Linked DNA regions of Lepisosteus oculatus. The protein of the gene in region 1 interacts with the protein of each later gene in a pairwise test. Links are inferred from orthologs where the notes say so. Each region holds a gene or a part of one and is shown on either strand. Other genes may lie near its edges. The genes, in order: stk16, rpia and kctd14.

Evidence for each region.
Region 2: the proteins of stk16 (region 1) and rpia interact in binary tests that used the Homo sapiens proteins (3 or more experiments, as listed by UniProt). The two-hybrid records come from large-scale screens. The link is inferred for Lepisosteus oculatus from reciprocal best matches to the Homo sapiens genes STK16 and RPIA.
Region 3: the proteins of stk16 (region 1) and kctd14 interact in binary tests that used the Homo sapiens proteins (3 or more experiments, as listed by UniProt). The link is inferred for Lepisosteus oculatus from reciprocal best matches to the Homo sapiens genes STK16 and KCTD14.

Annotation. Positions count from the first base shown.
Region 1 is NC_090707.1:32,206,121-32,214,207, reverse strand, and holds the start of stk16 (serine/threonine-protein kinase 16), read left to right. Parts: upstream 1-5,049; 5' UTR 5,050-5,158; intron 5,159-7,528; 5' UTR 7,529-7,552; coding exon 7,553-7,638; intron 7,639-8,087. Other genes in the region: uncharacterized protein c2cd6, read right to left, coding at 1,566-1,655. UniProt on the Homo sapiens protein: Membrane-associated protein kinase that phosphorylates on serine and threonine residues. In vitro substrates include DRG1, ENO1 and EIF4EBP1. Also autophosphorylates. May be involved in secretory vesicle trafficking or intracellular signaling.
Region 2 is NC_090696.1:29,001,089-29,008,696, reverse strand, and holds the start of rpia (ribose-5-phosphate isomerase), read left to right. Parts: upstream 1-4,520; 5' UTR 4,521-4,576; coding exon 4,577-4,765; intron 4,766-6,835; coding exon 6,836-6,896; intron 6,897-7,123; coding exon 7,124-7,179; intron 7,180-7,402; coding exon 7,403-7,462; intron 7,463-7,608. UniProt on the Homo sapiens protein: Catalyzes the reversible conversion of ribose-5-phosphate to ribulose 5-phosphate and participates in the first step of the non-oxidative branch of the pentose phosphate pathway.
Region 3 is NC_090700.1:9,860,626-9,868,648, forward strand, and holds kctd14 (BTB/POZ domain-containing protein KCTD14), read left to right. Parts: upstream 1-5,014; 5' UTR 5,015-5,185; coding exon 5,186-5,242; intron 5,243-6,318; coding exon 6,319-6,990; 3' UTR 6,991-7,600; downstream 7,601-8,023. Other genes in the region: rps3 (small ribosomal subunit protein uS3), read left to right, coding at 1,390-1,577, 2,716-2,915.

The DNA.
Region 1 (8,087 bases):
TTTAATGGAAAACCATAACAGATATGTCAAAGTACAATAAAATATTTATTTTTCTTGTATTAATTATCTTTAATTTTATTCAGTTTGTACTGCTGCACCTGCAAAAGTTACTGAAATACAACAAAGACATCAGTATACATTTTTGGCATATAAAAATAATTACAGCTACTCTTCTCAAAACAATTTACAGCACTGATTGAATTTTCCTAGCATTCTATAGCAACATATTTATTACTATTAATAAGAAGAGACTTGATTCATGTATTCAGAATCTCCAAATGTACTGACAAAGTTAACCCGATGAACAGTGAAACAAGAAACTAGAGAAAACAGATGGAAAATAATAACTTTAATATGAGAATAGAAGGCACTTCTGTACACAAATTGTTGTGGGAGTCTGGAACAACCTACCCAGCTTGTTGTTCAAGCCGATACCCTGGCTTCTATTAATTAACTACTAGCAAACATCCTCTCAGCCTTTTTAATGTTATCATACCTTTGTTTTCCTACTACGTAAAACAGCTGGCCATAGGTTTGGACTTCTAACTCTGATTCCAACACTGTTACCAGGCCTGCCAACATGCCAAAAGAAAATCCTATGTGTATTTTAAAACAGGAAGTGAAAAGATTTTACTCTTTTTGTCAGGAAACCAATTGGTAGAATTGGAGGATCCTGAAAGGAAAGGGATATGGTTGGATAATTGGTTCAGAAGTGAGAATTTGTGGAATCTGGTGCGTGTGGGAATGTGATGGGTTCAATTAGGAATAATAATAATTGCTTACACTTATATAGCACTTTTCTGGACACTCCACTCAAAGCGCTTTACAGGTAAAGGGGACTCCCCTCCACCACCACCAATGTGCAGCCCCCACCTGGATGATGCGACGGCAGCCATAGTGCGCCAGAACGCTCACCACACACCAGCTATCAGTGGGGAGGAGAACAGAGTAATGAAGCCAGTTCATAGAGGGGGATTATTAGGAGGCCTTGATTGGTAAGTGCTAGGGGGAAATTTGGCAAGAAAGCCGGGGTTACACCCCTACTCTTTTCGAGAAACACCCTGCGATTTTTAACGACCACAGAGAGTCAGGACCTCAGTTTTACATCTCATCTGAAGGACGGTGCCTGTTTTACAGTGTAGTGTCCCCGTCACTATACTGGGGCATCAGGACCCACATGGACCGCAGGGTGAGCGCCCCCTGGTGGCCCCACTAGCACCTCTTCCAGCAGCAACCTTAGTTTTTCCCAGGAGGTCTCCCATCCAGGTACTGACCAGGCTCACACCTGCTGAGCTTCAGTGGGTTGCCTGTTGTGAGTTGCAGGGTGATATGGCTGCTTGGCTTGGAATGAGATTGTGAAACAGTGGGTTTGGGAACGCAGCGCCGTTTGCGAAGGAGAGTGTGAGACGTGACACTTTTCCTTCTTTTTCTTTTTCCGAAAATCACAGGGTTGGTCACAACAAGCTGAGAAGTAAAACACACACAATTGCTGATTCCAAATCACAAGGGTACCTCAAAAGAGTCTAGATTTGTATGAATAAATCCCAGTTGAAGAGTTTCTTTACCTTGAGAAGGCCACTTGTGGCTGTGGTCTTTGAAGAGCCCAAAGTCCCTGTGGACCCTGGCTGCTGTGATTCCTCTCCAGTCACATCCATGGGCAGGCTGTCGGCCCTCTGTCTCTGATGCTGCGCTAACTCACTTCTGCTTGTAAGAAACTGAGATGTGTGGGAAAGCCCTCAGAGAACAGCAAAAATCAAATCCGCTACTTCAGAACAGGACTTCTTAAAAGGCTAGTGGAGGACATCAACGTAATATAATATAAACAACTGTATATTAGAAACACAGGCAATGCAGCATTTATTGAAAGCCAGCAGCTCACGGCTTCTGTTGCTAACTGAACAGCTGGTTTAAAAATAAACAAGTGAGTTACAGTACATGATCTGTTCATTCACATTCACCAGTTTAGTTTCCCACCACACAGGACAATAAAAACTTCCCGAAAACATTAACCACAATGAAGTATAATAGTACCATTAATTGTAGTAAAAGAAACCCCTCACTTTAGTAGTTACTTTTAATTTTCTTTTTGCTTCGTGCAATATTATTTCTTTGTGAGACTTTATTGTTTTAACTTTTAGTTGTCCTCTTATTATTCGTTTGTAAGTTTTGAGTCTTCATTTATTTCTTGTACTTGCCTGTGTGTATTTATATTTCATAATTACTGCTAACATTAAAAAGTTCAACTTGGAGAAGAAAGGAGTTTCATTTCAGACTTCCAGACTTAACAATTTCCATTTTTTGTTAACAAATACTGATAGAATGAATCTTACTCACATGTTTATTATTCTTATTCAAGTGTTCGTTACTTGTCCTAAGTTTTTAGTTTTTTTAAATGAAACAACTAAAATTTTAGAATTAATTTGACAATTTCCATTTCATTTATGCTCCAAAATTTTTTAATTGGTGACTTTTCCCATTTTATACTGATACCTTTTTAAATTAAAACTGTTTTATCAATTTAGTCGTATCAAAAATACGTTGTTAATATTGCTCTGTTTTCCGTATTGGACTAAGATAACATTAGATAATCTTAGTATGGAAATACTGACATTCAAAATGGCAAGTATACTGGATTTTCAAAAATGTAGGATTTGATACATTTCAGTTTATATTGAAATGTTTATAATAAAAAAATGTTTATTTCTGTATAGTACTGTATGATTATACATTGTAGAAATTTCCTAAGTACTGTATATAAACTAGCTATGAATTAATTGATGTTTAAGTCTTTTTTTTTGGGGGGGGGGTTCTACCTTTTGTATTTTTTTTTGCTTTGTTAATGCTTGGAATACATGGTGAAAAAGTTTCCATTAACCCTCTTGGTCTCCTTCCCACAGGACGAGGAGACTCGGGCTCCATTCAGACTGACTGAACCAAGGGGCAGCTGCAAAGTGGAAATGGGGTGGGGTAGGGGGTGCTTGTTACAGATAGTCCATTTAGAGCGCTTTACAGGTAATGGGGACTCCCCTCCACCACCACCAATGTGCAGCCCCCACCTGGATGATGCAACAGCAGCCATAGTGCGCCAGTACACTCACCATACACCAGCTATCAGTGGGGAGGAGAGCAGAGTGATGAAGCCAATTCAGAGATGGGGATTATTAGGAGGCCATGATTGGTAAAGGCCAGTGAGAAATTTGGCCAGGATGCCGGGGTTTTCGAGAAACATCCTGGGATTTTTAATGACCCCGGTTTTACGTCTCATCCAAAGGATGGTGGCTTTTTACAGCATAGTGTGCCTAATACTGGGGCATTAGGACCCACACAGACGGCAGGGTGAGCTCCCTTATTGGTCCCCCTAACACCTCTTCCAGCAGCAACCTTAGCTGGTCTTCAATCCAGGTACTAACCAGGCTCACACCTGCTGAGCTTCAGTGGGCTGCCAGTTGTGAGTTGCCGGAGGATATGGCTGCTGGCAGAAAGGGAGGTATTGGAGTTCAGTATATTCAGCCAATTTCTGTAATGATGGTGATTAATTCCAGCTGTGTGAGATTGATTTGTCATTGTTTGCCCTCCTGAACTTCAGTTAATAACTTATATACTGTAAATGAAATGTAATTCTGTAAATACTAATATAATCAATTTCAAAAACAAATATTGTGGTTCTCCAGCCACTATGTTATTTAGTCAGGGACCAGTACTTACAGCACATTTCACCCTTATCTTATCCACTGTATTTTGTAAAGTTTTAGAAAGAAGTAAGACAGTTGTCCATCAAGGAGTAGTTAAATGCCACTGAAGAAACAGAACAAACTGCGGAAAAGTATAGTGACTTAATGTAGCACCACATACAGAATATAGCAGGACACCCACCCACTTTTGACAGGTTTGGCTCATTGTACCCTCACTCATAAAACTCTCCAAACATAACACATTTAAAACATAGAAAAATCAATTGATTAAGCAGCACAGGATTAATTCCTTAACCCCATTTTGCCCGCGCTACAGTCTTCTTAGTTTTGAAATAGCTTTGCTGTAGTATGCAATAATTTAATCTCCGTTTCATACAATGACAATTGTTCATGAATGGGACCATTCGCAAACTGTGCTATGGTTCCAAATGAATTTTGGCTATTAAATATGTTGTAATTATTGAATACTTAATATATTGTATTGTAATTGAATACTCCGTAACTACTATTGAAAATGGATACATTTTCAAAACAATATAAACCGTTTTTGCATAGCCAGATGTTTATTTGGAAACGTGTTGACATAGGATGTCCACAAATATATACTGTCTGAACCTACACGTGCATTCTATCAATAATGGCAAACGCTAACTGGGTTTTAAACAATACAGTACTACGCTTGCCCTCCCCAACATCTCGACAACAGCCATAACCTTTAGAAACTCACAACTGGCAACCCACTAAAGCTCAGCAGGTGTGAGCCTGGTCAGTACCTGGATGGGAGACCTCCTGGGTAAAATTAAGGTTGCTGCTAGAAGAGGTGTTAGTGGGGCCAGCAGGGGGTGCTCACCCTGCGGTCCATGTGGGTCCTAATGCCCCAGTATGGTGATGGGGACGCTACACTGTAAACAGGTGCCGTCCTTCGGATGAGATGTAAAACTGAGGTCCTGACTCTCTGTGGTCGTTAAAAATCCCAGGGCGTTTCTCGAAAAGAGTAGGGGTGTTACCTTGGCCAAATTTCCCATTGGCCCTTACCAATCATGACCTCCTAATAATCCCCATCTATGAACTGGCTTCATTACTCTTCTCTCCTCCCCACTGAGAACTGGTGTGTGGTGAGCGTTCGGGAGCACTATGGCTGCCGTCGCATCATCCAGGTGGGGGCTACACACTGGTGGTGGCGGAGGGGAGTCCCCATTACCTGTAAAGCGCTTTGAATGGAGTGTCCAGAAAAGCGTTATATAAGTGTAAGCAATTATTATTATTATTACTATTAACATGAAATGTGTGAAATGTGTGAATGAGAGTTACTGTGTGTTTAAAACAGAGGCGGGGTCTCTCCAGTCGATGACGCGCTGGCCGCAGGAGGAATTTCTCTACCCGGAAATCATCTGGAGGTGAAGATAAAGCGAGAGAGACGGGAGAGAAACGTTTAAAAGGACGGAGATATAACATTCTGTCCCACGGTAACGTTAGATCCAATGTGTTTTCTTTCGGTGGCGGTCTAAATCATTCACTGCACGAGATTATATCCGACTGGTTATAGATTTAAGTAACAATTCCTCTTCCCGGTAGACCCTGCTGCTGCTACTACAATGTTAGATGCTGTCGCTATGATTTAAAACTGCGATGTACGTGCCACGTTAGCATTAAACCATATAGGTCTTTGCGTTCAGCCCAAAGTGGGATGTTTTATATGCGCACTGTGTAAGTTTTTTTTATTTCAAATGAATGTGCGGAATTTACACCCGTGTCGTAACACGCACGTTCACATAAGTAATATGTCATTTGTTTTTAAATAAGGGCTATGAATTATTCACGATGGAGCGCAACCGATGGGTTCAGTTACAGTTAATGCATAAAAGGGTAGTTTCTTTTAAGCGCCACCTTAATAGAAACGCTACATATTGAAGTTTCTTGTGACATAGAAACCGTGTTTTAAGGAAAAGTTAATTTTTATAGTATTGTTATTTTGGTACTACGTTACTCATTTGTAGTAAAAACCAGCAGGAGACAATCGTGTGCATCAGTCAGCACAGCTCTTGACGCGCTCAAATAACAAATTTGGTTATTTTTAGTCATCGTATTACATGTATATTCATTCAGTACTATTACTGAAATGATTTGAAGAAATAATTTACAAACTTTCAAATATACTAGAAAATGTCACTGTGATCCAGTATTCTATGGATCGTGGATAATGTGTATTCATCACAAACACGAGTCTTGCACCACTCATTTTATACTTTGTTTATTCAGTTAGATATCTCTTTATGCATGTGTTCAGAAAGCCTGGCTATTGGTTGTTAGGTCAGCTCGTCAATAGAAGAGTACTGGTTCACAGTTTGGACTGGCATCATATGTACAGTAACTGCATGTTATTCCAATGCATAAACAGGATGTAGTATTAGTGTTTAGGGAGTGTAGTCTTTATCGGCTAGTCCTGGTCAGGGAGATTCACACAACTGTGTGTTTTTGCTTCAGCCAAGATGAAAGTTACACCATTTAATGTGTAATTGACTTGATAACAGGGTGGATTTGAACTGTGTGACTGTTTTCTGCTTTAAGACCTATTGAAGATAGACATTTAAAGTACTGCATTTTCCTCATTAAGATCAAATCCCAAACAAACTCTTGAGTCTGGGGAGGGGGGAATACTTGTGCGATTGTTACAATCCAGCAGTTTATTCATTCAATAAAGGCTTCTAGGAGGTCATTAAGCTCAACTGGAATGAAGATCGGCAGGTGTGTGAGATTGACCACCCCTGGACTCTACAGCCTGCACCAGCAGTCGGAGCAGCTGTGAAGCAGTGATCCAGGGTAGCCTCCTGACAGTAAACCAAGCTCTTGGGTTTCCAAATGGATTCTTTAATTGACCTAATAACACGATTGATTCAAACCATTTGATTTGTTTTTAGCTCTTTAGTGTGTAGGTGGTTGCCCTTTAACTACTGCATTTCATTGCCATAAAATAAAAAAGTAGAACAACAAAAAGAACTTTGACAGATTGGCAATCGAGTGCCTCGTTAGTTCCGTTAAGTCATTAAGCTCGGCTGGAGGGAAAACCAGGAGGAATGTGTTCTGAGACGGTAGTGGTGAAAGCTTCCTGGAATAGGCATTTTGAGGAAAAACGCCACATCTCTTCAAAATGAACCCCTCTTCTGAGAAGAGGATAAATAGGGATAGCATCCCATATTTTAAACAATTTTAGGTGTTACCTTTTTTGTTAGTTGTCTCTAGTTTAGAAAGCATAAATCTTTTCTTGTCTTGATTTAAATGCCTTTAAAAGAGATGGTCTGCCTTTCGTTTATCCTGTCCTAGCATGCAACTGGTGCAAGGCAGGACACGCCCCGGGCTGGATGCCAGTCCAGTGCAAGGCAGGCAAACAGACGCAGAAGAAGACGTGCACACACTCACGCTAGGGCCTGTTTTAGCTCCAGTATTAATTAATTAACCCTCCAGTATATCTCTGTGGGAGGAAACTGGAGAACATACGAACTCCACACAGATAGCACCGCCGTTTCAGAATTCAACCCAGGGCCCCAGCAATTTGAGGCAGCAATGCTAACCATTGAGCCCCTGTGCCATCCCCAAGAGGAAACTGTCATTTTAAAATATAAGTTTAGATTCCAAAAGAGAGTCCTCTGCCTCTGAAGTCAAGAGGTTGCCCAGGGCTAACATCTGAACTGTGCTGATCAGCTTCGACGTCCTGGCTAGCTGCTCTGCCTGTGTGGTTCGTGAATGTAGCACTCGCTCGAGTAAATTAACACTCTTGAAGCCAGTTTTTCTGCTTTTGCACGAATGATCTAGAACCCATGTGCTCTTTCTTTCCTCAGTGATCAAAGGATGTTACAGGGACCATGGGCCATGCCATGTGTATCTGCTCCAGAGGAACTGTCACCATTGAGAACAAGCGCTATTACTTCATCCAGAAACTAGACGAAGGGTAGGGAGCACCGGCTGGGCTGGGGTCTTCCCTTGGGGCCGTGATAGTGGATCAAACAGAAAAGAGGAACAAAATGGAGGGCAGTGGGTGACGGTTGGAGACCGTTCCCTCTCAGCTATGTCCGTGCGTGCGCGCACACAGGTTATACAACCAGGAAATTAAACTGCACACAAAAAATTAAATTCCCCCTAAAGTCCGATGATAAAACAAACACGGTCATCAATTGAAAAATGCTTAATTGACCACATGAGACAGCAAGAGGTCCAGCTTGGCTGTGTGCGCATTATTATTGCTACTCGATGACCGACATCTATGCTCTCGTAGTCTCGTACCTCCCTGCTCATGCAGGGAGCCAAGCCGACTGGGCTCGGTGAATCACTGTCCTGGTCTTTTGGATCTCTATGCTTCTATGCTTCTATGAGGATGACTATATTAACAAAAAATAATTT
Region 2 (7,608 bases), on another chromosome or scaffold:
AGCTCCTTCTAGTTCAGTCCCACCCATTTGATATTTCACTTTTTTTCTTTTTCTGCCTATCTGTAATAGTTGTGTTTGTCCATGTGATCACATTAGATTGAATTTGCCAGGAATCTCCCCTGATCTGAACTCTGTTTAGTGTTTTGCCTTGCTTGTGTGGTGTGAAAAATCAGAGGTCTCTGTCCCCTGTCCTAACCGGTACCTGTACACTGACAGATACTGTTGCTGCTGCCCCGACTGCTCCAGGGTGGGCCGTGGTCTTGGTGCCTTTTGTGATCCTGATGCAAGTGGGCTGGCTGTAGAGTGAGACTGCACAGGAGTCTGGTGGGTATTTGATGTGCACTCATTGATACTGCACCACTATATACAGTATAGGAAGGGTACAGAGTGGTGTCCATACAAGGATTTTATATGACGCTTACACACAGCAGTTTTTTAATGATTTTTCAGAACAGATCACTCCGAATAAATGAACTGCATTTTAATTTTGGAAAGAAGACCAGTCCAATTGAGAGATTGAAAGCAGATCCCTGGCACTGCAGGGCAGCTTGTCACTTCCTCACTGACAGCACTGTCAGAGAGCAGACATGATGCCACATGTACAGCTGAATGTAAATTGCAATTGTCACATGATCAGCTAGGTCTTTGCCATATTTTCATAAGAGGTCGTGCGCATTAAGCGCAATGAGCAGAGGCGGTTTAGTGCAACACATACGAAGAGCCAGTTACTGTGAAGCAAGACCCTTTTGAATCCCACATGTCCAGAAATGGTGATTTTGCTGTACTGTACACTGCTGGTTTTAGGGTCTGAAGGCAACATTGTTTTAAACCTTTGGCCGCCACATGCCAGTTACCGCTGTGATTCCTCCTGCTTAAAACCTCCAAAACCAGGAGGATGCAGTCTTCCAGGCTCATGGTCTGACTGTGCTCGCAGCACTTAGACTACAGTAACAGGGATGGGGTTAAAGGGGAACTGCAAGGCTGTTTTATACAGTATTTCAGTAAAGCACTGATGAGTTAATTTCATCACAATAAAAGTAAAATGTATAGAGTAACTTCTGAAGAGCATTGTAAACAAGCAAACTTGTGAATACATCTCTTCTAATCCAATAGAAATATCGCTCTCCATTGTAGACCAATACTACTAGTTAACTCCACATGCAGAACACATTGGAACACTCCGCAGTGAAATGTCTGCTGCACAACAACATGTCGCTCATACATAACATCACATTAGTCATTACGGAGACTGGTGAGCAGGAAGGACCACTTCACGTTGCAATTCATGGGCAATCAAATGCAAGTCGGCAACAACATGACAACTTGTAGTACTTTCACAAAGTTCATGCTTATTTCGAAATTTGTGATATTTTTCTACAACGTCAATGACGTTATTTTGTTACCAAGGTTTAATAACCGATCTGAGAATTAGGGATTGCAGTTCTCCTTTAAATATTCACTACTTAACACACTGCATGTGCAACAGAAAAGCATGGTAACTCTACTGTAGCATATACTGTACAGTTTTAGCCCCCATGCTGGTTTTTATAGTCCTCCTCACAATATGCTATAATCTTTGCATGTTGAGTACTGATGTGACGGTGTAGCCTAATCAGCTTTCCCATGCACTCACCCCAGGGTGGAGGGACAGTGTCTGCATGACAGATCATCTGTGCTGGACATTACTGGGACAAGATGAAGGACCCTCATTCTCTGCTTCATGCAATGGCTTTGGTTTGCATATGGATTTCTAGTAGTGCCTTGTATTCTTATTAGGCTATCCTGAACTCTGTAAAGTGCTAGTAGTTCAGGTGGGTAGCTGCGTCAGCATGCGTAGGCTGCAAAGGAACAAGTAATAGGTTTATTCCATGCTGAAAAAAAGAAGAAAGAGAACACAACGTTTCGGCCGTGGAGCCTTCTTCAGGTGTCACACCTTCACACCTGAAGAAGGCTCCACGGCCGAAACGTGGTGTTCTCTTTCTTCTTTTTTTCAGCATGGAATAAACCTATTACTTGTTCCTCTGTAAAGTGCTGGCAGTTTGCTCTTCATCACAGTTTTCCTCCTCACTGTGGAGGTGGGGATTTAGTTCATAACCTCAGGTGCTCAGATCTCAGATCTCAGGTGCTGTCCATCACGTGTGGGAGCTGGAGACAGGAAGCTTTCTAAACCCGGTCACCCCTGGAGTTGAACATTCACAGGCTACTGTGGCACAGTCTGTGCAACTCCAACCCACTTTGGCTGCAGACACTCACAGGAGTGCGCTCAGCGGATTAGTAATGAAAACTCACGAGAATTTATTTGGAAAATTTAAGATGTTACTTAAATTGCAGTAAGGCTTTGCCCCACAAAACAAAGCATTTTTCATCAGCATAAGACCAGCTGAAAGACTGCCAAATGGGCTGAATGGTTTGCAATTTTTCTTAAGCAAGCAGGCCAGTCAGCTGATCTGGTTAATTTACTTGCCCCACCAGACCCTCTAGCGTGCTATGGACAGTCCCTCACACATTTAAATCATATAACCTATATTTATAATATACATGTTTATTCTGAAAATACAGATTGTATACATAAACACCTCAGAAGAAAACATAATGAAACATCTTCAATCAGTGACAGTCTCACTGCTGTGCCTGTACCAGGCCAGGAGTGGGCGCCAGCACCAGGCTGGGCTGTGTGTCTTTGCAGTTTCTGTGTGGTTACAGGCTTGGACACACAGGTTGAGACAGGTCAGTGTAACAGCACAGGAGTCCATGGTCTTTGAGATCAGACTGGACCAGGACAGCAGACCAGGCTGAGCTCCCAGCTCCTGTGTGCTGGGTCACTGAATAGATGCTGTACTGTCACAGATAAGAAAGTACCATGAACATACAGTATGATGACTAATTATTTCATTTAATCTTAGTGCCTATATGTTATGTATATACACATCATGTATATACACATTATTAAATAAATACTATATCAGTCAAATAAGTAGCTCAACAATTGCATCATGAGTTTGTTATAGTAAGTACTTTAAGTAAAACTGTGATGACATTTGCATTAGCTGTACTGTTGCCCAGACCTGAGACACTGGGAGACAATACGTGGAAGCTGGCTAACCAGTCTGCTAAAAATAGTAAAAATAATGCTGTCCTAATTTCAGATGGACACACACACAAACATAATAACAAAAATAATGATGATGACAATGATGATGATGATGATGATGATGATGCCAAGCACATCTATCCAGGCAAGGTATGTATTGAGGGCTTGAGTTTCTAAGCTGGAGGGGGACACAGGCAGGAGTCTCAGGAGCAGGGGCTGTGACCCCTGAACACCAGCACTGCACTGCCTGGCACTGGCTGTGTGTTCTGTGCAAGAACTCCATCTGACCAGTCAGTCCATCAGCACCCCTCCGGCTGAACTCACTGAACAAACCTCCCTTCCCCGTGTCTCTGTTCTGGGCTGTGATTAGACCAGGATATGTTTACAACGCTATTATAACTCAGCATGGGTGTTTCTTGGTCTTTATTCTTTTCTTATATATTAGAATATAAAAACCTGGAACTTTAGATAATTTTATAAATTATTAGTAAACTGAGTTTCTGAGACGTGGAGGCTTCACAAACAGGTTTATTGACTCTTTATTGCTCTGCCTCTCCATGCACCCCCATCCTGTGGAGATGGGTTCTGTTCCGACCCACTCCAGTCATTTTATTGCATTTTAAGAATATCTGGATATTTTGGAAAGAGTGTTTTTCTTGTTTTGCCTGCTATGCCTGTAATAAACGCTGTGCATCTTACTGACAATAACATTACCGGCAACAATAAAATGGTCTGAAGAATGTTGGCTATTTTCTGTGACCCCTGGAAAGTTTCACATTTAGTTTTTTTTTCCTTGATAACGTACTGTAGGTTTAAGGATTAACAATTGTTACCACTCTTTCCTAGTTCTATACACCACCTTACATGATGAATCAATGTCTCTATGGTGCAACACAATAGTACTGGAAAAACAACAAACGTCTCCAACAAATAATATAGTAGAACAGTGTTATAGGAGATAAGATTTGTTTTACATGTTTTAGAAAGCAATTGCATATAGAATGAAAGATTTCCTGCTAGAGTTTCCATTACCCCTGGGGACACAGATAGGAGTAGTGTAAATTCATAATGGAGAGAGTGAGCCACACTCTCCGTAAAGTTCTTGGCATTTTTTGGAACCTACTTTTTTATAGAGGACGTCTAGGTTTTTTTTTAATTTGCTTAATCAATTCCATTCAAGCTGAATGCAGCAAACCCGTAAATCTCAATTTACAGACTTCAAAATACGCAAACTGTTCGCGTACACTCATACAAGCAACATTTGACTCTGTACAAAAGAGTTAAATATGAACACCGTGCGACCGGTATGCACTGCATTTTGGGAAGTGTAGTTCACATTGGGACCAACCCACTCGTAACTCGACCGTTCAGCAAATTTAAAAAACTACTATTACCGGCTCGGGTTGCGTTGCAGACAACTGCCGATTTTTTTTTTTGCACGACTTCCTGAGGTAGTGGAGGCCGGCGAGGCAAGGGGGCTGGATTATGAGGTTACAAAGGGAAATCTGTGAGACTCTCGCAGCTGGCTTTCTGGGGAGGCCGGGGAGTCTTGGCAGGAAGATATTCGCCGAGGGACACGTGTTTTCGTGTAGGCGCTTCTGCTGCGGGAGGAGAACCATGGCTGAAAATGCAAAGAAGCTGGCCGGCTATGCTGCCGTGGACAATCACGTGCAGGTAAAGACTATGAATGACTCCGGTAATACCTGTGCATTTCTTCTAATTGACAGATCGCTGCAGGAGGGACGTGCGCTGTGTTTTAATGAAGTGCACAGCACTTAGCAGAGCTACATACCCGAGGTTTAGCAGCGGCGCTCTTTGCACAGAGCTGTTGCACGGGGTGGTTGTGCAGGATTGATCACTGTATAATTAAATTAACCCCCCTCCTGAGTCACAAGACGTCGGCTCAGCTTGAGGGCTCAGAATTATATCTGCTGCATTGAACCTATTGTGCCTCGTCATGGTGAAGAAAGCTCGTTATTGGAGTCTCCCTCGTGTCAATAAAATTTCGTATGCTAGTTTTGTTCATATATTAAACTTCATGAGTAAGCTTCTTGATCACGTACAACCTGGTCTTCCGTTCCAAATTAGGTTTCAGTCTTTAACCCTCATTTAGCAGTTAACAACATGATTCCGTAGTTTAACAGGGTGATTAGCTTACCCTCCAGATGCCTGACCCGTAAAGTTGATCAGTGTACAGCAGCAGCAGGTTTCGCAACTATGCAGTGTTTGCAGAAAGCAAATACAGTTTTTTTTCCCTTCTGTTGCAGTGGGAGTTTGCAAAAAAAAAAGGCAGTATATTGTCTTTTAGCCCCGTACTTGTGTTTTGAAAGAGCACGTGTTCTGGCCCGCAGGAGCCCCTGGTCCGAGGGCAGGTGTCAGCTGAGCTGCAGACCCTGACGCAGCTGGGACTCTTCCCTGCGGTCAGCAGCAGCAGAATACACGCTCTCGTGCGCGCGGTACCTGGTTTTCGTCGAAACCTTGTAGCCGATTACTGCAGAGCTCGGTCATTTCTGCAAGCCGCCCAATGTCCTACCAATACTGCATTGCTGTTTTTGTCACAGGGATGCATTTTCAAGCGCAAGTCAAGTTACTTAATAGACGATTTTGGGGACCAAATGTCATGTTTGTGAATGTTATCACTGATCAGTAACATACTGCTACAAGAGAGAATCCATAAACTGTGCGTTTGCAATAAATACGGATAATATGCGTCATCCGAGTGGGAAAAGCGAGGTGTTGACAGATTCACTCTTCCAAAGGCCTGCATGGGAGCTCTGTTATCAGAGAGTGTCTCAGACTGGGTGTGAATTGGATGCTGTAAACACACTGTTGTGGGGCAACATTTGTGGTCAGTTTTACCCACAACAGTTCTTCCTGTTTTTGATTACTAGACATACAGACAGATGCAATGCAAGAGCCACTTAATGCAAATGTTAATAATAATAATAATAATAATAATAATAATAATAATAATAATAATTTTGGCATTTATATAGCATGTTTCATCTCAAAGTGCTTTACCTAGGAGGGGACCCTATTCATTCACCACTGAAGTGCATTGTTCCCAGTCACCAAAGAGGTTCCACCTACTGGTCCACCGACACCACTTACAGCAGCATTCATAGATCGTGAGCACCTAATCAACAAACAAGCTCGATGGGCCAAATGGCCTCTCCTCATTTAAAATCTGTATTTTCTTCATCTTTTTAACCTGATTTTCCGCAGAGGTCTCCTATCCCAGTACTGACCAGGCCAAGCCCTGCTGGGCTCCTGAGCCCTGGTGAGATGGGGCTGCAGCATAGTGTACAGTGGAGGTAGAAGGGGCTGTTGCAAAGGGGAAAAGGTTTTACAGCTCTGAATGTGAAAGGAAATGAATAAAGACAGCAGTTGCACGTAGTCACCTCCCCCCCTTGAAGAGTCGGCCCCTCTCTGTCGTGCCCAGTAGTTAGTGGTGCAGGTAGATGCTGCCCCCTGGAAGATCTTGTCTCCGAACTTTCTTCATCTGCAGCTGGACTGAGACAGGAAATCCAGCCGTGTGACTGAGATAGAAGTACAGGTGTGATTGTGAGACCCTGTGCAGGCCAGAGGAGACCTCTTCTTTAAACAGCTGCCGTCTGCTTGTCTGGAGCTCTGATGCAGTTAGTGAGCTGGTGTGTCCACACTTCAGGACATGCTTTAGATCAGAAAGGCACCAAGAGGAGCAAGAAGCACGTGACCTTTCCTCTTGTTGCTCTTAACCCTCAGAACAACCATGCTGTTGGTGTGGGCAGTGGCACCACTGTCGTCTACGCTGTGGACAGGCTGGGTGAGTGTCCCTCTCTCCTTTTTTCCTTCACCTCCTGGTACCTTCCCCCTGTTGTCTGAAGCAGGAAGATTCCAGCTGCACACACGTGGCTTGGAGCAGACGGTTCTTCTTCTTTGTCCTTTTCCTGGCTGGGCAGTAGTTAAATGCTGGTGTTGCTCAGTTCTGGTGGGAACCTGTAAGGGCCAGTCTCAGGATGCTGACAGATACTCTGCTTGTGTGTTTTCCAGCGGAAAGAGTGCGACAGGAGAAGCTGAACATCGTCTGTGTCCCAACATCCTTCCAGGTCAGTGTGTCGGCCTGCCCGTCATGAAGAGAGGGAGCGAGTTCAGCGAAAGTGTGAATTCCATAGTACCATAGTTGGAGAACCACTGCATTAGATAATTGCCTATGAAGTTAACAAGTTGTAAGTTTGTGCTCTGTGCAGCCTTGTGTGTAGATGGACCTGGATGCACCTGGAGATGGGGTTCCCCTAGCTCTGTCAACTCTTTTCTCTCTCCTGTTTTCAGGCCCGTCAGCTGATTCTACAGAATGGTTTGACCCTGACTGACCTTGACCGGCACCCTGAGGTACTTTTCACAGTGATGGGGGACAGCTGCACCACAGCAGGAACCAAAGAGAATCCTAAAACTCGTTTTAAAAGTTCACACACATCACAAGGATGATCTGATATATGATCAGTGAAATAATTGACTTTGGTCACTCCTTTTAGTAT
Region 3 (8,023 bases), on another chromosome or scaffold:
TTCTGTTTTTGCAGTGGTGGAATTCTTAACTTGCAGGCTAATTGTTTTTCTACATGGGACATATCTTCATATGGGGGGAAAAGGGTTTATGATTGTTGACGACCTTTGGCTAGATTTCATGTGCGTCTCTTAAACTGTTACCTGATTAGAACAACTTTCAACCAGTAAGAGTTGTTCAGTCAGAAATAATAGCAAGCAGTAGTCAACAGTAACTTTGAACCAAGTGGGGTTTACTAATTGAGACTGCCTGAAGAACCTGGAGACAGTTTAAATAAGCTAGTAGATCAATTAAGTCATCAGCCCCGGAGATTTATAGTTCAGCCGAAATCAAAACCAGCAGACAACATCTTCCTTCAGGACCAGGCTTGGGAACCACTGGTTTAGTACTTTGCTGTTCCTTCAGTGATGATACGATGACGAGTCTGAACAGGACCCATCCTGTCTCTGGTGTCCTGGCTGGGGGCCACGTTCTGTGTCCCTCTGTTCAGGGCCCTGAGCAGAGTGTCCTCATTGTTTGATGACATAGAGGCATTTGTCTGAGAAGGATCTTCTAATTAGAATCAATACATACACATGAACATAGCCTTAAAATCATAAGGTGAAATTGTTTAATTACAGGCTCAATTATGCGATTGGATCCTTTAGAATAAGAATCCACGCCTTTTCTTACATAAATCCATGGGAGTAAATTAGATGAGGTTTTGCTTTATGCTTGCTACATTGTGTAAAAAAAAACTTGTAACATATTCCATTTTTTAATAGAAAACAAGCTCAGTTGTGTTGACTGGGTTTATTTCCTAAGACTTACAGCCAGCTGACTGCACGAAGAGCTGCTGGGCTTGTAAACTGCTGCCTCATGTAGCAAATCCTTTGTCTCACGCTGGTGTAAAGCCGCAAAGGCTTTTTTTTCTTAGACTACTGTAGGTTAGATATAAGTTTAACTTGGATTTGAAGGCTTTTCACTTGTGCACTTGAATGCTGTGTATAGCTGTTTACAATGAGTTTAAGCAGGAAGCGGCTTCAGCATGGGTAGGCTGCAAAGGAGCAAGTAAAAGTATATTCTGTGCTGAAAAGAAACGGTTTCAGGTGCCTGTTTACAACGAGGTTCTGCTATGTCTGTTTTTGGCACATGTGATGGGCACAGACCAGGAATTTCTACTAAAAATGTAAGCAGTGCATTAAAATGCAATGCATTATCTCATTGTAAGGATGTTGGGAACTTCATATGGGCACTTACTCAGGTCATTGAATCATATTGGTAATCCTTTTCATTTGATTTTTTTTAAGTGCTCTTTAGGCAGGTTGCTAACTTTCTAACTTCTAACTGCTGCAATCTTGAAAGAAAGCAGTGAGAGTGCATTTGAAGTCCTAAGCCTCCTTGTGTTCCAGAGCCTGCTACGGTGTGCTGCGGTTCATCATGGAGAGTGGTGCAAAGGGCTGTGAGGTGGTGGTGTCTGGGAAGCTCAGAGGCCAGAGAGCCAAGTCCATGAAGTTTGTCGATGGGCTGATGATCCACAGTGGTGACCCTGTCAACTACTACGTTGACACAGCTGTCCGCCACGTCCTGCTTAGACAGGGTATGTACAGCAGTAGATCTTGCCATCTAATGTAGTTGACCCGTAGTACGGTCAAGTCTATTCTCTAGTCATTAGTTTGCTATACTTATGATTTCTTCCCTGGCTTTATGCATGTCTGTGATATTCTGTTAGACGCCACCCTGGGCTGGGGCTAGTCCCTTCAGTGATGATACGATGACGAGTCTGAACAGGACACAGCCTGTCTCTGGTGTTCTGACTCCTGGCCACGTTCTGTGTCCTTGAGTTCAGGCGCCTAGGCAGAGTGTCCTTACTGTTTGATGACATAGAGGCATTTGTCTGAGAAGGGCTTAAGTTTGTCACAAGATTTTGTTTTATTTGTAAATGGCAATTTGTATTTTTGGCTTTTGCATGCACCAGCAGGTACCACACTTCTCTTGAGAGCATCATCCAAACCAGTGTCCCAGGGACACTGTGCATGTTTGGTATGATTAAAACCAAGTTCTTGACTGCTTGGTCATTAAGTATCACATGCGATCATTTTAAAAACTAGAGCATTAACCCGACTGTCCTTGCTAAATTCTGATCTGGAATATACACTGACACCCCCCTTTAATTCAATTAGTGAAGCAATTCCTCATTTCTCCCAATCTGTGATGTGGGCTGCTGTTGCCGTGCTTTGCCCAGGTGGTGCTGCAGTCCAGAGATGGTTAAAAGGGGTCCCTACCTGTGGGAAATGGAACGAACTTTGATTTATTTTCCCCCCTTAGATAACTTAGTAATATTAAAACCTGGAAAACTACTAAGAAAAATGAATAATGAAATATGCACTTTACACTGCTGTAAAAACCTCAGGTTTGATGTGCATGTGGAAATGATGCTTTTACCTAGTGTATCTCATTCATGGACAGTATGTTAAAAAATATTGAAACATGCTTTGTACGTAGTAATTTTGAAATGTAGCTTTAGAGAAAAAACATAAATCTATTAAATCTTACTGAAAGGTATGTTTAATTACATCAAATATGATAGTTTTTTATTGGGAATTATGCTGTGTGCGTTTTGGGTTACCAGAAAGACCTGTTTCCTGTTGTTTCCTGCTAACATGCTCTGCATTGTATATCCCCCACCATGTTCATTCTCCTCTGAGTGACCTGTTACCTGTACTCTCTGTCTCCAGGTGTGCTGGGTATCAAGGTCAAGATCATGTTGCCTTGGGATCCCACCGGCAAGATCGGCCCCAAGAAGCCCCTTCCCGACCACGTCAGCATCGTGGAGCCCAAGGATGAGGTCCTGCCTACCACCCCCATTTCTGAGCAGAAGGGTGCCAAGCCCGAGGCCCCCGTTATGCCTCAGGCGGGTCCTGTTGCCACAGCATAAAGGTAAGAAGGGTCATGATCTGGGCCTCAAGTTTTACCTCCTGCACTCCTGCAACGCATCTTTTCTGCAAACTCTTGGAAGTGTTGAAGTTATGTGCTGAATGGCCTTTGCCCCTTAAATATTGCACCTTCACCTGCCTCTGAACTTGGTGTCCTAGGGGTCCATGTGTATACGCCCCTTGCTGGCGACTTTTTAGTGAACTCCCTTCAGTGATGATACGATGACGAGTCCGAATAGGACCCATCCTGTCTCTTGTGTCCTGGCTGGGGGCCACGTTCTGTGTCCCCGAGTGCAGGGCCCTGAGCAGAGTGTCCTTATTGTTTGATGACATAGAGGCATTTGTCTGAGAAGGGTCTTGACAATTCATTATTACCTATTGCCTTAAGTGCACCAGCATCTTTAGGGTGTTTGGCTTGTTTCGAGTTGCTGCCTTATCCAATATTATAACACTCTGTAATATCGATTTGTCACTCATAGTTTTTTTTATTCCTTTGCAGGTATCCACTGACATCTGGAGATGGAAGTTTGTGGACAATTTCTGTAAAAATTTCAATAAAACAGTAAAAGACATGTCCCAGGTTCTGTCTTTTGTTGTGGGGTAGTATAAGAAAACTGTGCTTTAGTCATTCGGTGGCACAGAAGTGGTGGTGTTTTTTGTTAAGGAATGGGGTGACATTTATAACATTTTTTAAGGTGGCTAAATATAAAAGCTACATGATGCAAATGTAACAGATGTAAAGTAAATTGGTCATAACTTTTTGTACTCGTGCTACATACTTGCTGTTAATTTACCACTTCATTCAGCTGGAACAAGTATTTTGAGAGGAGATTCTGGGTGTCGGAAAAAGAACTGGAGGGGCATTCTTTCAGTGAGGCCTGCAGCAAACCCCTGCTGACCAGTTTTGCTCTGAACCTTCACATCTCCTTCACACACTGAGCTCTGCTGGGATACCTCTGTGCAGAACTGGCATTGTTTGGGTCTCTGTTTCTTAAATGAGATGCAGGTCCTGTACATTACAGGGCTCATTTGAAGTTGAACGATAAATGCTAAATCCTTCTGAAAAATCGATATGTTCCTCACAAAATTACTTGGGGGGGTGCTGAGCCCGACAGTATTTGGTGCCAAAAGAAAGATACTGAGGTTGGAGATGTGACAAAGCAAGCTCTTATGCATAGAACAATATAGTGGTCTTGTATGGATGTTGAAATAGTTAAACCAAATACGCACGGAAATAACACTAGTGATTTTTAAATGTATTAGTGAAAAGCCATTTATGTAGGCTGTATGGAAACACTTCTGACTGGGGATACAATATATGGCATGTGTGTCCACTGACTACGTGTATCGTCTTGAATAAGGGAAGGAAGAATGCACTTACTGGCCTGTTATCCAGGTCATTAAAAAGTGAAACCACTGTTCCCGGGGTTTTCTTGACAAACACGGGCAAGTGATTCAGCTTTCAGTATCTAGGCGTTGGCATAAATACCCCATGATACGAAGTGAAAACTATCAGCTCATTGATTTGCTCAAACCCAGTGTAAATATCTTATGAGAGGTTATAGTGTTAGTTGATCTGTATCTGCACAATACGCCCTTTTGCAAATAGTTTGTTACAACTAAATTACGGCTTTGTAAAAATATTTCGTGACGAGTTAGTCCCGGACGACTTAGTGAAAATGATGCTTTTTTTTAACTTCAGTTCACAATTATCCTTCACTCGGTACATCACCCTTAATTCATTATGAATATTTTAAAAGGGCAAGAACAGCGAAGTATGTCGCTTTTAATCCAGATAAACTAGAATCAAAATTACTTACACCAAATATATTTAATATATTTGATCATACAAAAATATTTCATGACACGCGTACCTAAATGTTTTTTAGATAAATGCGTACTTTGAAACCATATGTTAGCTGGCCTGGTATTTTAATAATTGACGTTCAGAAGTAACTACTGAGTACGTGGTTTTAAGATTTAGAGCCTCTAACTGCGTTACTTTCAGCGAAGAAATAGGAACTGTTTTTTTCTTTGTTTGTTTTCAAGTTGGTAAAGGTTTATTAACTTTACCCTGATTCTGTATATTGATATTTTAACAGTAAAGCGCTGGTTCTTTAAATGTTCGACAACGTGGTTAATTTTCGAGGAGTGGTTTCGGCAAAAGTTTGTAGACCACACCCTCCTCGGTGAAGCTATAATCCCCTTGTCCTAAAGGAACTCCGGAATCAAGTAGAAGACAGGTTCATGTAGTCGCAGTTCGACACAAAAAATGAATCAATCCGAATATAAATCTCCAGGAAAGCAATGTACCACCAATTTGCAGTTGGTAAGTTTTGAACAGAATGGTTCGTATTTAGACCAGGTTATTTTTGGAAGAATTGATAGAACAATGCTAGTTTACCGTTTGTTGTCTCGGAAATGTTAATGCTCAGTTTAGGAACACAGTAAGGAAATTTGTAGGTACTAAGAAACAACCGTCTTTTCCCCTTGTTGTACGGAGACGTCTCGTACTACAATAACTTTCAAAACTTAACATGAAAACATACTTAACATACGGTTTTTTTTCCCGGTTTCACTAACCAGTTTTTACAAGTTAGAAAAATAAGGTTTTATATGTGTGAACAGCGCTCGCGTAAAGAAATGAAAGTGTATCGATGGTAAGAGACGTCGCACTGTGACTTTTCTCTTTTTTGCGTCATTCATCAAATTACAGGGTATGTATGTCGTAGTAACTAGTGCGACTTTGCAATGTATGCTGCTCGTCTCGCAGTCTCAGTTTGTGGGACTCCCCTCGCATTTGTTTTTTAAATTGGGCCCTCTGAGGTGATTAATAGCATAAATTGCTTTACTGATTTAGTACGTGGAGAAATTGTGTTGGAAGGCGCTTTGCATTATATGTATTAGTACTTTTGATATTTGCATACTCTTACAGTACAAGTGCGTTTTTTTTATATTGACCCGATTTGTACCCTAATAAAACTGGCCGTGTTTCAGCAGCTCCCAAGTGAAAGGGGAATATGTTGCATAACCTATGGTTTACCGAGACAACCTAAAGAAGAACAGAACAAATAAGAATGTTGAGATGACTAAGAGCTCGAGCTCCTATCCAATAATTAACTCGGGTTGAATTACATACAGGTAACTAAATATACCCACCTTAGTTTTACATATTATTCTTTCCCTGGAATTTTGTCAGTAAACGAATGCATGTATAAGTGTATGAGAGAGACTTGAATGTAAATCAATTTAATACTTTGGTACTACACAGAATAGATTTTTGTTTCAGATTGTCCAAGTTGGTCTCGAATTGGATAAAAAAAAAAATACATGCTTTTACCAGCCCCGGTGTGTAGAAGGGGCACCTGTCCTTATTTTGTTTTCCTCTTTCTTCTGGATTCCCAGCATTCACCCGTTGTGCAGCTCAACGTTGGTGGCCGGCTGTACAGCACATCGCTGGGCACCCTGCGGAGGTTCCCCAGCTCGAAGCTGGCCGAGATGTTTAACGGGCAGCCCAAGCTCAGGACGGACGCCGAGGGACGCTACTTCATTGACCGCGATGGGACGCACTTCAGACACGTCCTGGAGTTCCTCCGCACCCAGCGGCTGCCCACCGAGAACGTGCCGGAAGTCTACAAGGAAGCCCTCTTCTACGACATCGAGCCCTTAGCCAAGCAGCTGGAGGACTCGCCGCAGATATTTGGGGAGGTGGTGGGCAGGCAGCAGTTCCTGGCCAGGGTGCCCAACTACCGGGAGAACCTGGAGGTGATCATCAGGATAGCGCGGGCGGAGGCCATGGCCGCTCGCCACTCCAGCGTCATCGTGAGCGTCTTGAGGACGGAGGAGGACTCTGCGCGGTACAACGACGCCATCAACAGCCTGGATGCCGATAAAGAATCGGTGGTGAGGTTCGGCCCTTGGAAAGCATCGCCTACCGCCATGGACCTGCTGGACTGTGTCAAAATGGACATCGAGGCCAAAGGCTACAAGATCAGTTACCAGCAGCACGTTGCGGACAAGGGATTCCGTTTCAAAAGCTACGACTTCTTCTACAAATTCATATTCACTTGGTGGTAGTGCCAGCTAACGGTACACTCAATATTAGCCTCTTGATGAATTCTTGGCACCTGAGTTGCTTTTGCAGATCACCTTGTTGGTCTGGCCTTCGACATTTTCTGTTCAGGTTAAGCCTGGATAGTGGCTGAAATTTAACTTGCCCCTGGACGTCCAGATCAGCATTTTAGCAGAAAAGGAAAAAGCAAAAACAAGACTGAGTAACAAGGAGAAATTTGTCAACTCATATTTTTGCATTTCTTTATTGGTTCATCATGTGATGTTACCAAAAAATCAATTTGCTTAGTCCATGGATTTCAACATTTGGATGATTGACAGCTTACTTTTCCCTCTTCTTTGACTTATCTCCTACTCCGAGTTCTGGACAACCTCTTCTTTTTGCAGGGAGTTGTTTTAAAGAAGTAGTTTCTATAGAAGGGAACAAATGACTTTTTTTCTATTGACTGTGATTGTTATCTATATGATTGTTGTAGAGCTATATTATGTTAATGTTCTATGTTTAATCAGTGACAAATTATTAATTGTGAAATGAGTGTATATAAACATAAAGACTAGATATTTTTTTACAAGATTCTTTTCTTTGTCCTTTGAATAAAATCAACAGAAACTCTTAGTCAGTTGCCACTTGTCTTTATCTGGTAAGTTGTAATGGTCATTTTTTTTTTTTTAATGGAGTACAATAAATGTGTTCAGAAAGAGTACGAAAATCGATCTGTTGCCTTGAACAGAAAATGACCCGGGTAGCTTAGCGCCTGTACAGAATGCATTTGCATTTTAATACAAACCAGGATGTCATAAATTGGGTCAATTTTGACACCCCCCATTGGTGAAGAGTCTATATCCGTGCCTCTGATAGATGTCACAACCACTCACCGCTCAAGATGACATGACTTAAGGGAATTGCTCTCTTGTACTATACATCTCTGGCCGCTTGGCAGAAAAAAAGACTAATGTGACCACCATAGCCCAACCTGCCACTGAACCAACTTCATCACTTCAAGCCATTGCCAGACTGAGAGAGACTACGTCAGCAGCC